Macaca fascicularis: one gene and its partners. The protein of the gene in region 2 purifies or fractionates together with the protein of the main gene of each other region. This does not show direct contact. Links are inferred from orthologs where the notes say so. Each region holds a gene or a part of one and is shown on either strand. Other genes may lie near its edges. The genes, in order: MTMR10, MTMR2 and MTMR12.

Region 1 (3,750 bases), on a different chromosome or scaffold from region 2:
TTTTAAGAGTTAGCATCTATCATATGGAACCAAAGTTTGGTGTTTTTAATATTTTGTCCCTATACAATATTTAAAATTTTAAAGTTTCCACATTTGTTCAATTTTTACCTACAAAATTCTAATTATTTTACTAGATTTGGCTTTAAGTAATGAGTCAGATTTTACAATGTTCATAGTAGCCACACAAACTAGTATTTGATTTCAGGTCTAAAACAGGCTTTCCTAAGTATCTGGCTACTTCCCCCTAATAATCGCATTAAACAACCGACTTTTCCTAATTATTATACAACTGTTATACAATTCTAAACGCCATACCAATATTTTCTATGCTCTAAAACAGACTCCTTTCTGCCACCAATCCCTACTTCTATCTCTAAGGTCACCCATAGTAAATTTTGTTCGACAGCAGTGATTCTCTATTGTGAGATTTTTGTCCCCCAGAGGCCGGGGACAAAAAAAAAAAAAAATTGGCAATGACTAGAGGCATTTTGGTGTGGTAACTAGGTCGCAACTAGGTGGTGGGGAATAAGGGTACTACTACTGGCATCTAGTGGGTGGAGACCATCTTTGCTGCTATACAAAGGGCAGCCTGCCCCTCCAACTATGAATTATCTGGCCCCAAATGTCAATTAAGTGTCTCTGCTGGGAAAAGCCTACTTCTAAACTGAAACAAGCAAATTTGCAAATACAGCTGACAACTTCAAAAAACAATTGCCAAGCAAGTAATTCAAAGTTCACCGAGCTCTGTTATTTGTATAGAGACAGAAACATAATAAAGGCCTCTTTTTATACTATCAAAATGCATTAAAATGATTTGACTATTAACCATTAATGCCATAAGTGGCAGACAAACACGTAAGCAAAGAGTACTTTTACTACCCAAGCAATTAAACATATACGTATTTTCAAAAAGAAATTCAGGAGACAAAAAAGGAAATGAGGTAATGACATTCTTGACAGTTCCATTTTCTCCTCTCAGTCACTAGATTTTTAACTGGAGAAAGTTTAATGAGAGAAGGGAAGTTAACCACATGATACTAGTCGGCAGAACAATCTTAGACCAAAATACATTGCTAAAGTATCTGCTAAAATTCTAACTAACGTTTACCTGGCAAAAGGACTGGCTCCAGTTTTTTAATCTTCGGTTCCGAACTGATCTTATCGTCAGTCTGAAATACATGAGCAAAATAAATCAAAATCTCAATACCCCCACCCTCCGTAAAACGCTACAGCAAATGTTTTCTAAGTGATGACACAGGCGAAAGACACATAGCCCCCATTTAAATTCTTTCACATATTAACTGAGCTCTTTTAAAGATCTGCTCATTATCGACTTGGAAGCCTGATAATAAAAATTACTTAAACGGCCAGTGTCGCTTCCAGGTGTTCACATTTATGACAGACGGTTAACCACCTCGACCAGTGACCCCAAGCGCTGCAATCACGCTGGCGGTCATAGGAGGGACGGTCGACGGGTTGGAAACTAAAGAAAACCCCAGCTCCCAAGGCTCCCCTGGGTCTCAGCACTCGGTAAAACTACGGAGGACGGACTTCGGGCAGAGAATGGCTGCAGAAGAGTTTTACAAGTTTTCGCCGAGCCAGTGGGGCTCCCGAGAAGGCGCATTTCGCGGCGCCGGGAACCAGGCAGCCGCGCGGCTGAGGGCAGGGAGACGCGCGCAGCCTCCCGGGGTCCTCCAGTTCCCGGGGGTCGGCCTGGAGGCTCCACGGAAGCGCCGAGGAGAGAGGCGCTCGCGGGGAGGGGTTGTTTACCTGGGGCGGCGGCAGGAGGTAGGACCTGAAGGTGGGTCTGGGCGGCTTGAGGGAGAACATGGTGCCGCCGCCTCTTCGCTCTGTTCCCGTCGCGGGTCAGCTGCAGCGCCGACGCCTCCAGGCGTAAAGCTCTCAGTGCGGCCGCCCAGGCCCCTTCTGCGGCCAGCCGAGCCGGGCTGACTGACGGGCGGGGACACGGCGCAGCGCCCGCCCGAGCGGGGAGGGGCCGGGCACAGCCAGACCGACGCGGGCGCCGGGGCTCATCCCCGGAAGGGGCCCGGTGCCCCGCCCCGAGAGACGGCGCGCGCAGGGCCGCGGCCCGCCGCTCCCGGGCCGTAGCCCGTGCTAGTGCCGGAACGCAGGGGTGGCGCCGGGTGCCCGCTGGCGGGCCCTCAGCCCGGGCGCCGCTGGGAGCGGAGCCCGGCAGCCATCTCGAGAGCGCGGCCTCAGGAGGGTGCTCCTACGGCAGCCCGCAGGGGTCAGACGGCCCGTGGGGGCCTACGGCGGCCTGCGGGGGCCACGGCGGCAGCGGTAGGCGGCCTGGGACGGCGGCGCGGGGCATCTTCTGGCCGTACTGCAGTCCTGGGACAGTTCCCATGACTTACACATGGGCCGACTTCGCCCTCCGGCCCGGGCGAGCTCAGGGAGGAGCCCAGGGCAGGGGAAGGGGACTTGGGTCCAGGGGTTAGGCGGTCACCCCGTCTGCGCCCAGTATGCGAGGAACCGGCACTGGGAAAGTGGGCCGGTGCCGCCAAGCACAGGTCACTTCTGAGCTCTTACCGTAATTCAGACTGGAGCAGACTTTGGTGGGAGGGGGCTAGTGGTGTTACATTTTGGTGATTCTATGACTTGAGACTAGGTCCTTCTTATACCTTGAAGAATCAAACCCCAATCCAGCACTTTCTGATTCATGTCACAGGGAAGCTCCCATGTAGCCCTATCAGTCACAGTCATACTGATGAGTGTTACTCACAGGAACATTTAACAATTTACATAAAGATTCAGAAAGTTATTCTTTTTCTGAAAATGATTTATCCTGGATATAGAACCCTACTGATCTTTCAGGTTAACATGTTTGAATTCCACTCTGCCCAGGAACCATAACCATAACTATTTTTTAAAGAGTCAGGGTCTCACACCATCGCCTGGGCTGAAGTGCACTGGCATGATCAGGGCTCACTGCTGCCTTGACCTCCTGGGCTCAAGTGATCCTCCTGCCTCAGCCTCTCAAGTAGCTAGGACTATGGGCATGAGGCACCGTGCCTGGCCATAACTGTATTTTAAAATGTTAGTTCCATTGGATTCGAAGTGTTAAAATCACTGTCGTGCACACTTTTAAAAAAATTTTTATGGATATGCTGTTATTCCTCTATATTCAATGGATATTTTCTACAAATACTCTTCAAGCAATCATTGGCTTTTTCTTTACACTTAAATGACTCTGTGCTTTGGGTTTTTCTGTACAGGTTTTCTTAGGATCTGCAACTCTAATATGCGACCATACAACAGAAAAGTGGAAAAAGTCTATTTCCAGATTTATTATTGTCTTAACATTTCCCAGATATCTAGTTGTATTAGTCTGCTCAGACTGCCGTAACAAAATACCACAGGTTGATGGCTTAAAGAGCAGACATTAATTTCTCACAATTCTGGAGTATGGAAGTCCAAGATCAAGGTGTTGGCAAGGTAGGGATCTGCCTGACTTGTGGCAGGCAGACAGGCGAGGGCTCTCTGATTTGCAGATGGCTGCCATCTCACCGTGTGCTCACACTGTGCGCGGAGGGTATGTAACAAGCTCTCTGGGATCTCTTGGTGTCTCTTCTTGTAAGGACGCTAATCCTATCAGATTAGAGCCCCACTCTTATTACCTTATTCAGCCTTAATTACCTACTAAAATCTCCAAATATAGCCATACTAGGGGTTAGGGTTTCAACGTTAGCATTTTGGAAGAACATAATTCAGTCCATAGAAGTAGTTTTA
Region 2 (3,750 bases):
TGCGAAGAAGTGTTAGCCTAGATTGTTTAAAATTAAGCTTTCTAACTAGTGTCTATAATGTATCTGTTACATACTGTTGATTAAAGAGAGTGCCACAAACAGGTATGATGATTAATGAAATAAAAGATACGTAGAATTTAGCAGGGAAACTTCCATACGGTAGACATTAAGTAAATACTACTTTTCTGTCTTCCAGAGGGGAGTAATGAAAGCTGGCATTCTCTCATGGAAAACAGGAATCATACTTATATTTTTGTCCAGAGAGGATGAGACTAATCTATAATCACAATTCTCTCGAGGAGTACTTAATTTTCTAAAATTCATGTCAGTAAATACTTTTTTATAAAGAAGTTCATAAACTTTAAATTTGCTGGGCTTTCTTTTTTAGGAAATAAATATGTTAAAGTGGCACCGTTAGAAATATTAGTTTGTGATAATAAAAGACACTTATTTAGCGTAATTGCGAATATCCAAAACAGGTTATTTGCAAAGGAATTATCTTTAAAATTAATACCAATGCATTTATCTTAGTATTGTCATTAACATTTAAAAAATGACAATTTTAGAGTTCCAAGGGACCTTACAGATTTTCTAGATTAAGCTTCTTATTTTAAAAGATGAGAAAACCGTAGACTAAAAAGGTTAAACGATAAAGACCAAAGAGCTAGCTCAGCCAGAGACTTCAGCATGGGAGCTTCCTAACTTCCAGTACTTCCTTCTTTCTAACATACTATGCTGCTTCATGTGGTTCTGACTCCTCTGCCTCGGATGAGAGTACTGGTTGCCTCTTATTCTATTCTGAGGCATAGTTGTCATTTGTAACTTTCCCATAAAATTAGAATTTTCCAACCTGTTTTCTGAATGAATTTTACAACTAAACATGTTAATCCTCAGCTTTCTACATTTCAAAGCAATACAAAATTCAAAAAATACTTGATTTAAACGTGCAATATATATAATCAAACTGCAAAGAAAACTCCTCTCGTGGATAATTCAGGCTACAAATTCAAAAAAATGAACGTAGTGAGCACCTATCACAGGCTGAGACTATGTTAAGTGCTGGAGATACGAAGATGATTAAGATTGCCCTCAAGTACAATAGCTTATAGCCTCGTAGAAAAGGCACTTTAAGCCAACAATTATAGTGTACTTATTAAGGACTCTGAAAAACGACTGGGCAGGGAGCTATGAATGCATATAGAGATTTAGAATGATGGGATCAGACAGTGGTTCCCCAATGAGGTACTGAACACCAATAGGAAAAAAGGCAATAACTACCCATATTTAGCAGAATCCAAAATGAATTATAATAGAGCCACTTCACTTGATTCGAGGAGAAAATGAAAATTGTGTCTTCACACAGCAGTTATCGAATAACTCTCTAATAACAATTAGACTATTATTCAGTGGAAAAGAACCAGATTTCATCATGGCTGCATAAAAAGCAAATACAGGTCTTATTTTTTAATAAAATTTTAAATCATTATTTTAAAAATCAAAGAAAAAGACCGCATCCAAAACGCGTCTAGTTAATATTCATAAAAGCTCTCCGCAAAGCTGCATAAAGTCCTCCTCAAAATTCCAGGATAAAATTCCCATCTGTTACAAGATAAATGACAACCTGGAGAACCAGTAGCCCAAGAAGGAAGAAAACTACCACTCATTTTGTTTTCTTACACCTATCACTGGGGATAAAAATCACTCAGATTCCTTGATACTGACTTTCAGCTGGAAGATTTAGAAAAGAGAAGCACAGGAGACATTTTTATTTACATATTTAAGCAAAAGGAGAGGCGAGAAGAAAATCAGAGTGTAGAGAAAAGCATGAAAGAAATTAAGAAAGTGAAGCCATGAAAAGAGAGAAAAGGCTTGGGCAAGAATCCAAAACCCAAAGACATAAGAAAGGGTGGAGGAAGAAAGATTGACTGAAGGATGGTTTTGGAAAAAGTGATAGAGAAAGACAGGAAATGTGGGGAAAAGAATGGGGGCGGGGGGAACTGTCTTAAAAAAGGTTTGAGAGGGAATGAGAGACAGGAGAAAGTAATTAACTGGGGCCACCTCCTTTGGGGAGAAAAAGAGATCGGAATATGAAAGGTGGAGGAATCGATAAAGAAGCAGCGAGTTTTAACCTCCTTTTCCTCAGCCTCCACGCCCCAGAGAGGGAGGCAGAAGTGGTTCCCAAGTCCCGGGGAAGGAATTTCGGTGCAGCCTTCAGAAACCAGAATCCGCGAATCGGGACAACAATCCAGTGGGTCCCCGGCCCCTCTCCATCCCCTTCGGACGCTGGGCGGGGCCCTGGGCGTCCTGGTTACCTGGACAAGGAGTCCACGCTGGGCGGCCGAGCCGCCGCTGGCTGGGAGCCAAGACTCTCGCAGCTCGAGCTCTTCTCCATGGCGCGGCAGGGGCAGCAGAGGGAAAGGCTGAAGCGGTCTTCGCGGCCACAGGGCGGGAGAAGCAGAGGGCGGAGTGCTGCGGGCAGGGGCCGCAGTCAGGCCAGCGCCGGCCCGGGAGGGAGACCGGAAGCGGCCATGTTCCCCCAGAGTGCACCGCGCCCGTAGGCTGCTGGGCCGCGGGAAGACCCCACTGCGCCCGCTCAGATGTCGCCACCGACGCGCAGTGCTAGCTGTGTCCGGCCGCGCGACCTCTGGTCTTGGGGAAAGGGAGGTGGCGGCTCCCAGAGTGAGAGGGTCTGGTGAAGCGGGAGGGATGAAGGACCAGACCCTTAGGGAAGGAGGAGATAATCCTAGGTGTAAGAGGAATGAGGGAACACTAAGCAGGAGGGTATCAGGAAAGAGATAAGGACCTGAGGCCAGGAGGATGATTGAGACAGGAATGTGGAGGTCAAGGAAAACAAGAGGACAGGATAATGAGAGAAAAGTGAGAAAGAGGTATGGAAGAGGGATTGGGGAGGAAACTGATATACATGCAAGAAGAATTATATACTACTGGATGCGGTGGTATTGGATTACCCAAGTAGAAGACAAACTTTTACCAGTGTTTCCATGCCCTTTCAAATTCCCGTGCCTAGCAGGAAGGGAATGTGGAGGAATAGAACTGTGATAAGAGAACAGGAACTGGGTAAAGAGGAAATGCTTCTGCTAGGATTTTTCTGTTACAGAGGACGTAAGAAGGACACCATAAAGGGATTTTTCTGATTGAGATTGAATCCCAATCATGTCATGTATGGGGTGTAAAATTATGCAAAGATTATTACTGTAAAAAAAAAAATCAGACGATCCTTAAAAAGAAAAAAACTTCCTTGCTAGGATAAATAGAATCATATTGATTTAAACTGGATTTAATTTATAACGTACAACTGATGTCTTTTAAAAAACCTTATACTTGCAGTGCAATATTAACTTGCAAGTACATTCCCCAGAAGAACAACCTAGCTTAGTTGTAGGAGCTAAAGTAGTTACTGATGAGTATGTGTTTAAGCACAAAAGGCTTAGCTGTTCTGTTCCTTTTTTCAGTTTGGCAAGGACAGGCAGCGACCGATTGTTTTTATTTCCATAATTTTTAAGAGATCTTAACTGTACTCTGTAGGCAAAAGGAGTAGGTAGTCAAAAACATTTTTTAACAAGCTTAAATATCTATAATGACTCATAGAAGAATTTCCTTATTTCTTCACCATCTCTACCTGTCTTCCAAAATGCTAACTCATTGTCAGCTACTTTGACTTAAACTTCCTAAGTATGGTGAACACTGATGAACCCTTGAATGGAAGACCCATATACTTTCTTCCACCCA
Region 3 (3,650 bases), on a different chromosome or scaffold from region 2:
AGCAAGTTAAGCCCACTGAGGAAAAGGAACTCACAGGCCACCAAGTTTCTATGGTAACTGTATAAAGTTGTCAACCACAAAGATATAAAAATAACAACCAAGTCATCCATGGATCTCTTTATATAAGAAGGATTCTAAAAAGATTTTAACTTTAACCAAGCTCAGTTAATATAAAACAAAATCCAAAACATTAAGAAATGTGAGCTTTGGTAAAGATACCAAAAAATTCCTTCATGGATGGTGAATAGGTCTGCCAAGTTTGAAGTGAAAGAATTTTGTTTTAAACTCTAACACTGAAATCCAAGGCAAAGGATTCCAAGGTTAGGGAGAAAGGAATAGGAAGGATTTCTACACTAACTCACTCCTTTTGTTTCCAAATACACAAAGCTATATATATAAAAATTGAATCTCAAGTGAAGGAAAATGGAAATCATCCTTTGTGCTTCCTATATATTACCTAAAAGAAGAACATTCATGTTTTGTGCTTCCATACATTCTGTAATCTCTATTGCTTTTTTCAGGCAACGTCTAAATAGGAAAGAGACAAGAAAAAGGGGCATTAGTTCATGAGCTTGGTAACAAAAACATTAAGTAGTTTAGAGATAGTCTGACTTGATCTTCAGTCTTCTCTCTTATTTTTTTTTTTCCATGCTAAAATCCTCCAGAAAAGAAACTAACTTCCATTTACATTATTTAAATACCAGGATATATTCCTGCCCATTAGAAACTGAAAATTTTCAGAAGGGAATCCTAAAATTGATATGAAAATGCTCCTAGGTAATTTCTAAACTAGACATTCTTATTAAAAACTCATGCTTGAGTCTGCTGCTGAGCAAGATTCATAAAAATCAAACATACCTGGAGAATGCGAGACATGTCCAGATTACTTTCCTTAAGGTGACCTGCTGAATGTATCAGAGTGGCTAAAAAGCTCCAATATGCTCAGAAATCCTTTTTGTCTCTCTCTACACATTATTCCCTTTGCAACTGTTGCCATTATTCCCAGCTTGGACTTGTATAACTGGGGGCCTTCATGTATGTTGTCTTCTGCTCGCAGAGGTGTCCTCTCCTACCCCCCAGCCACCCTCCCTTCCCACACCCCGACCCTTCATCTGGCTAGAGATGCTCACCCTTCTCTGCCCACCCCACACAAAGAAGGGTTATTTGCTTTTACAACATTTATCCCTGTCTCCCATTATATATTCAAATTATGAGATGTGTAGCAGGATGTCTGAAGCACAGTTCAGTGTCTGGAGGGCCAAGGCTCCTTTCCATAGTACTCACTTCAGAATGGAGGGAGAATGTGTGTGAGGCAGCAGGAAGCATTGCTCTCCCTCCTGAAATGTAGCCTAGCATTAGACCTACTGTCTCACCTTGATCATCATTTCTGTTTTGCACCTTTCTCTGCCATATCCTCTATTTAATGGCAACAGAGAAGAGCTATTCGATATAGAAAGCAGGAAAGGCAATATAACTGTTCTCTGGAACTCTGAACCTAACTCCCAAACCACGAATAACTGACATTAATCATGGTTTTTAAAAACACAGATAATATATGCATAAGACACAAGATTAAAAGAGGTATTCAGTGAAAAGTCAGTATCACTCCTGTTCTCACCCTCAATTTCCTCCCTGGAGGCCAGCACTGCTGCCTCAATAATAATTCTGGGTTGTCACACTCTTTCTGTGGTTTTTCAATGCCTTGTCTGTAGAGTACACCTCCTTGTAAGCAGGTGGCATGTTCATAAATTCCTATCAAATGTGCACAGAAATAAGTAGCAAATATAAAATCTAGCTGTAGAACATGTGATCTAAGAATATTTAACTTTGAAATACCAGTTAAATTATTTGTCAGTTTGATCTACTACCCTGAGTTAGACAATTATAAAATTCAAGAGTAAAACAATGGTTTGAAATACCTGATTATGTCAAGCCAGCTGCTACTTTCCAACAGAGAAAACCATTTTATATCTGTGTCCCAAAATTCAGTACTGTTATCTAAAAAAAGAAAAAGGAGTAAAGACGTCAGGTCATTGTTCACTGACATACTTGCCACAAAAATCCTGTGCTCCTCAACTGTGTCATTGAGATTAACAGTCCTGACTCAAACTGCAGAATCCAGGCACAGGACTCTATTATGAGTAAGGGTCATTTCAAAACTTCAGCTGAAACGGTTTCTGAGCTGTAGGGCCCTAGGAGGTTTTGGTGGTCAAAAAGAGATCTTTATTGCTGAAATAAGAAATTCCTACAATGCATACACAAAGCCATGGTTCATCCTGTAAGTCGACAGAGAGTAACATGCTTTAGGCAGAAATAGCTGACATCTAGGCTGCTAATTCTAGAAGTGGAAAACGCAACTGGATCCATCCTGATGCCACAGAAGCCTAAGGGTCAGACTGGACTTTCATTAGAATCTCAATGCACAAGTTTGTGCACCCAGCATACCATGACATGACTCCCCCTACATGCCTTATAAAACAGAGAACCTTAAATCTTACAGAAATCCAATATATTTAAAAGTTGCAAACTCAGGTTGGGTGCTGTGGCTCATGCCTATAATCCCAGCACTATAATCCCAGAAGCAGGAAGATCACTTGAGGCCAGGAGTTTGAGGCTGCAGTGAGCTATGATGGTGCCACTGCACCCCAGCCTTGGCAACAGAGTGAGACCCTGTTTCTAAAAAATGAAAAAAAAAAAAAAAAAGGCTGGGCACAGTTGCTCATGCCTATAATCCCTACACTTTGGGAGGCCGAGGCAGGTGGATCACCCGAGGTCAGAAGTTCGAGACCAGCCTGACCAATATGGACAAACCCCGTCTCTACTAAAATACAAAAAAAATTAGCTGGGGGTGCTGGCGCATGCCTGTAATCCCAGCTACTTGGGAGGCTGAGGCAGGAGAATTGCTTGAACCGGGGTGGCAGAGGTTGCGGTGAGCTGAGATCACACCATTGCATTCCAGATGGGGCAACAAGAGCGAAACTCTGTCTCAAAAAAAAAAAAAAAAGAAAAGGAAAAAAAAAGTTGCAAACTCAAATCAATAAAAGACAGATATCCCTGAAAGTCCTGAGTGATTGAAATAAAACTAGAATGAATGTCCTTGATTAAACAGTAAACATGTATTGCAATGTTTTAGTTTGAGTTAGAGTCATACATTGCTGTTTCCCTTGCAAGAGTGTAAGTTCCTGGTGTTATATTTCTCTTTATCACCAACACCTAGCATAGTTAGCATATACAAGGGGACTTCAAAAGTATGTGAAAACATGGAATTAAAAGATGAAAATAAAAAATATAAACTTTATTTCTCATCATAAGCTCCATCAAGTTTAAGACACTCTCATAAGAGATGATACCAGCCATTTAGTTCACCCCTAAAGAACTGAGGGTCCTGGGAATTTAACCACGTTATTGTAGTCTATTTTACATTATTAACTAAAAAAAAAAAAAAAATGGGTTCCCTTTAAGGATTTTTTTTTTTTTTTTTTTGAGATGGAGTTTTGCTCTTGTCACCCAGGCTGGAGTGCAATGACACAATCTCGGCTCACTGCAACCTCTGTCTCCTGGGTTCAAGCGATTCTTCTGTCTCAGCCTCCCGAGTAGGAGGGATTGCAGGCACCCGCCACCGTGCCTGGCTAATTTTTGTATTTTTAGTA

The links.
Region 1: the proteins of MTMR2 (region 2) and MTMR10 purify together in Homo sapiens (affinity purification with mass spectrometry; 5 studies listed by BioGRID and IntAct, with this or other methods). This does not show direct contact. The link is inferred for Macaca fascicularis from reciprocal best matches to the Homo sapiens genes MTMR2 and MTMR10.
Region 3: the proteins of MTMR2 (region 2) and MTMR12 purify together in Homo sapiens (affinity purification with mass spectrometry; 5 studies listed by BioGRID and IntAct, with this or other methods). This does not show direct contact. The link is inferred for Macaca fascicularis from reciprocal best matches to the Homo sapiens genes MTMR2 and MTMR12.

The regions. Positions count from the first base shown.
Region 1 is NC_088381.1:7,206,338-7,210,087, reverse strand, and holds the start of MTMR10 (myotubularin-related protein 10), read right to left. Parts: upstream 2,219-3,750; 5' UTR 1,831-2,218; coding exon 1,771-1,830; intron 1,170-1,770; coding exon 1,109-1,169; intron 1-1,108.
Region 2 is NC_088388.1:94,931,907-94,935,656, forward strand, and holds the start of MTMR2 (phosphatidylinositol-3,5-bisphosphate 3-phosphatase MTMR2), read right to left. Parts: upstream 2,549-3,750; 5' UTR 2,393-2,548; coding exon 2,313-2,392; intron 2,301-2,312; exon of another isoform or gene 2,130-2,300; intron 1-2,129. UniProt on the Homo sapiens protein: Lipid phosphatase that specifically dephosphorylates the D-3 position of phosphatidylinositol 3-phosphate and phosphatidylinositol 3,5-bisphosphate, generating phosphatidylinositol and phosphatidylinositol 5-phosphate.
Region 3 is NC_088380.1:32,858,400-32,862,049, forward strand, and holds part of MTMR12 (myotubularin-related protein 12), read right to left. Parts: intron 1,999-3,650; coding exon 1,920-1,998; intron 529-1,919; coding exon 458-528; intron 1-457. UniProt on the Homo sapiens protein: Acts as an adapter for the myotubularin-related phosphatases. Regulates phosphatase MTM1 protein stability and possibly its intracellular location. By stabilizing MTM1 protein levels, required for skeletal muscle maintenance but not for myogenesis.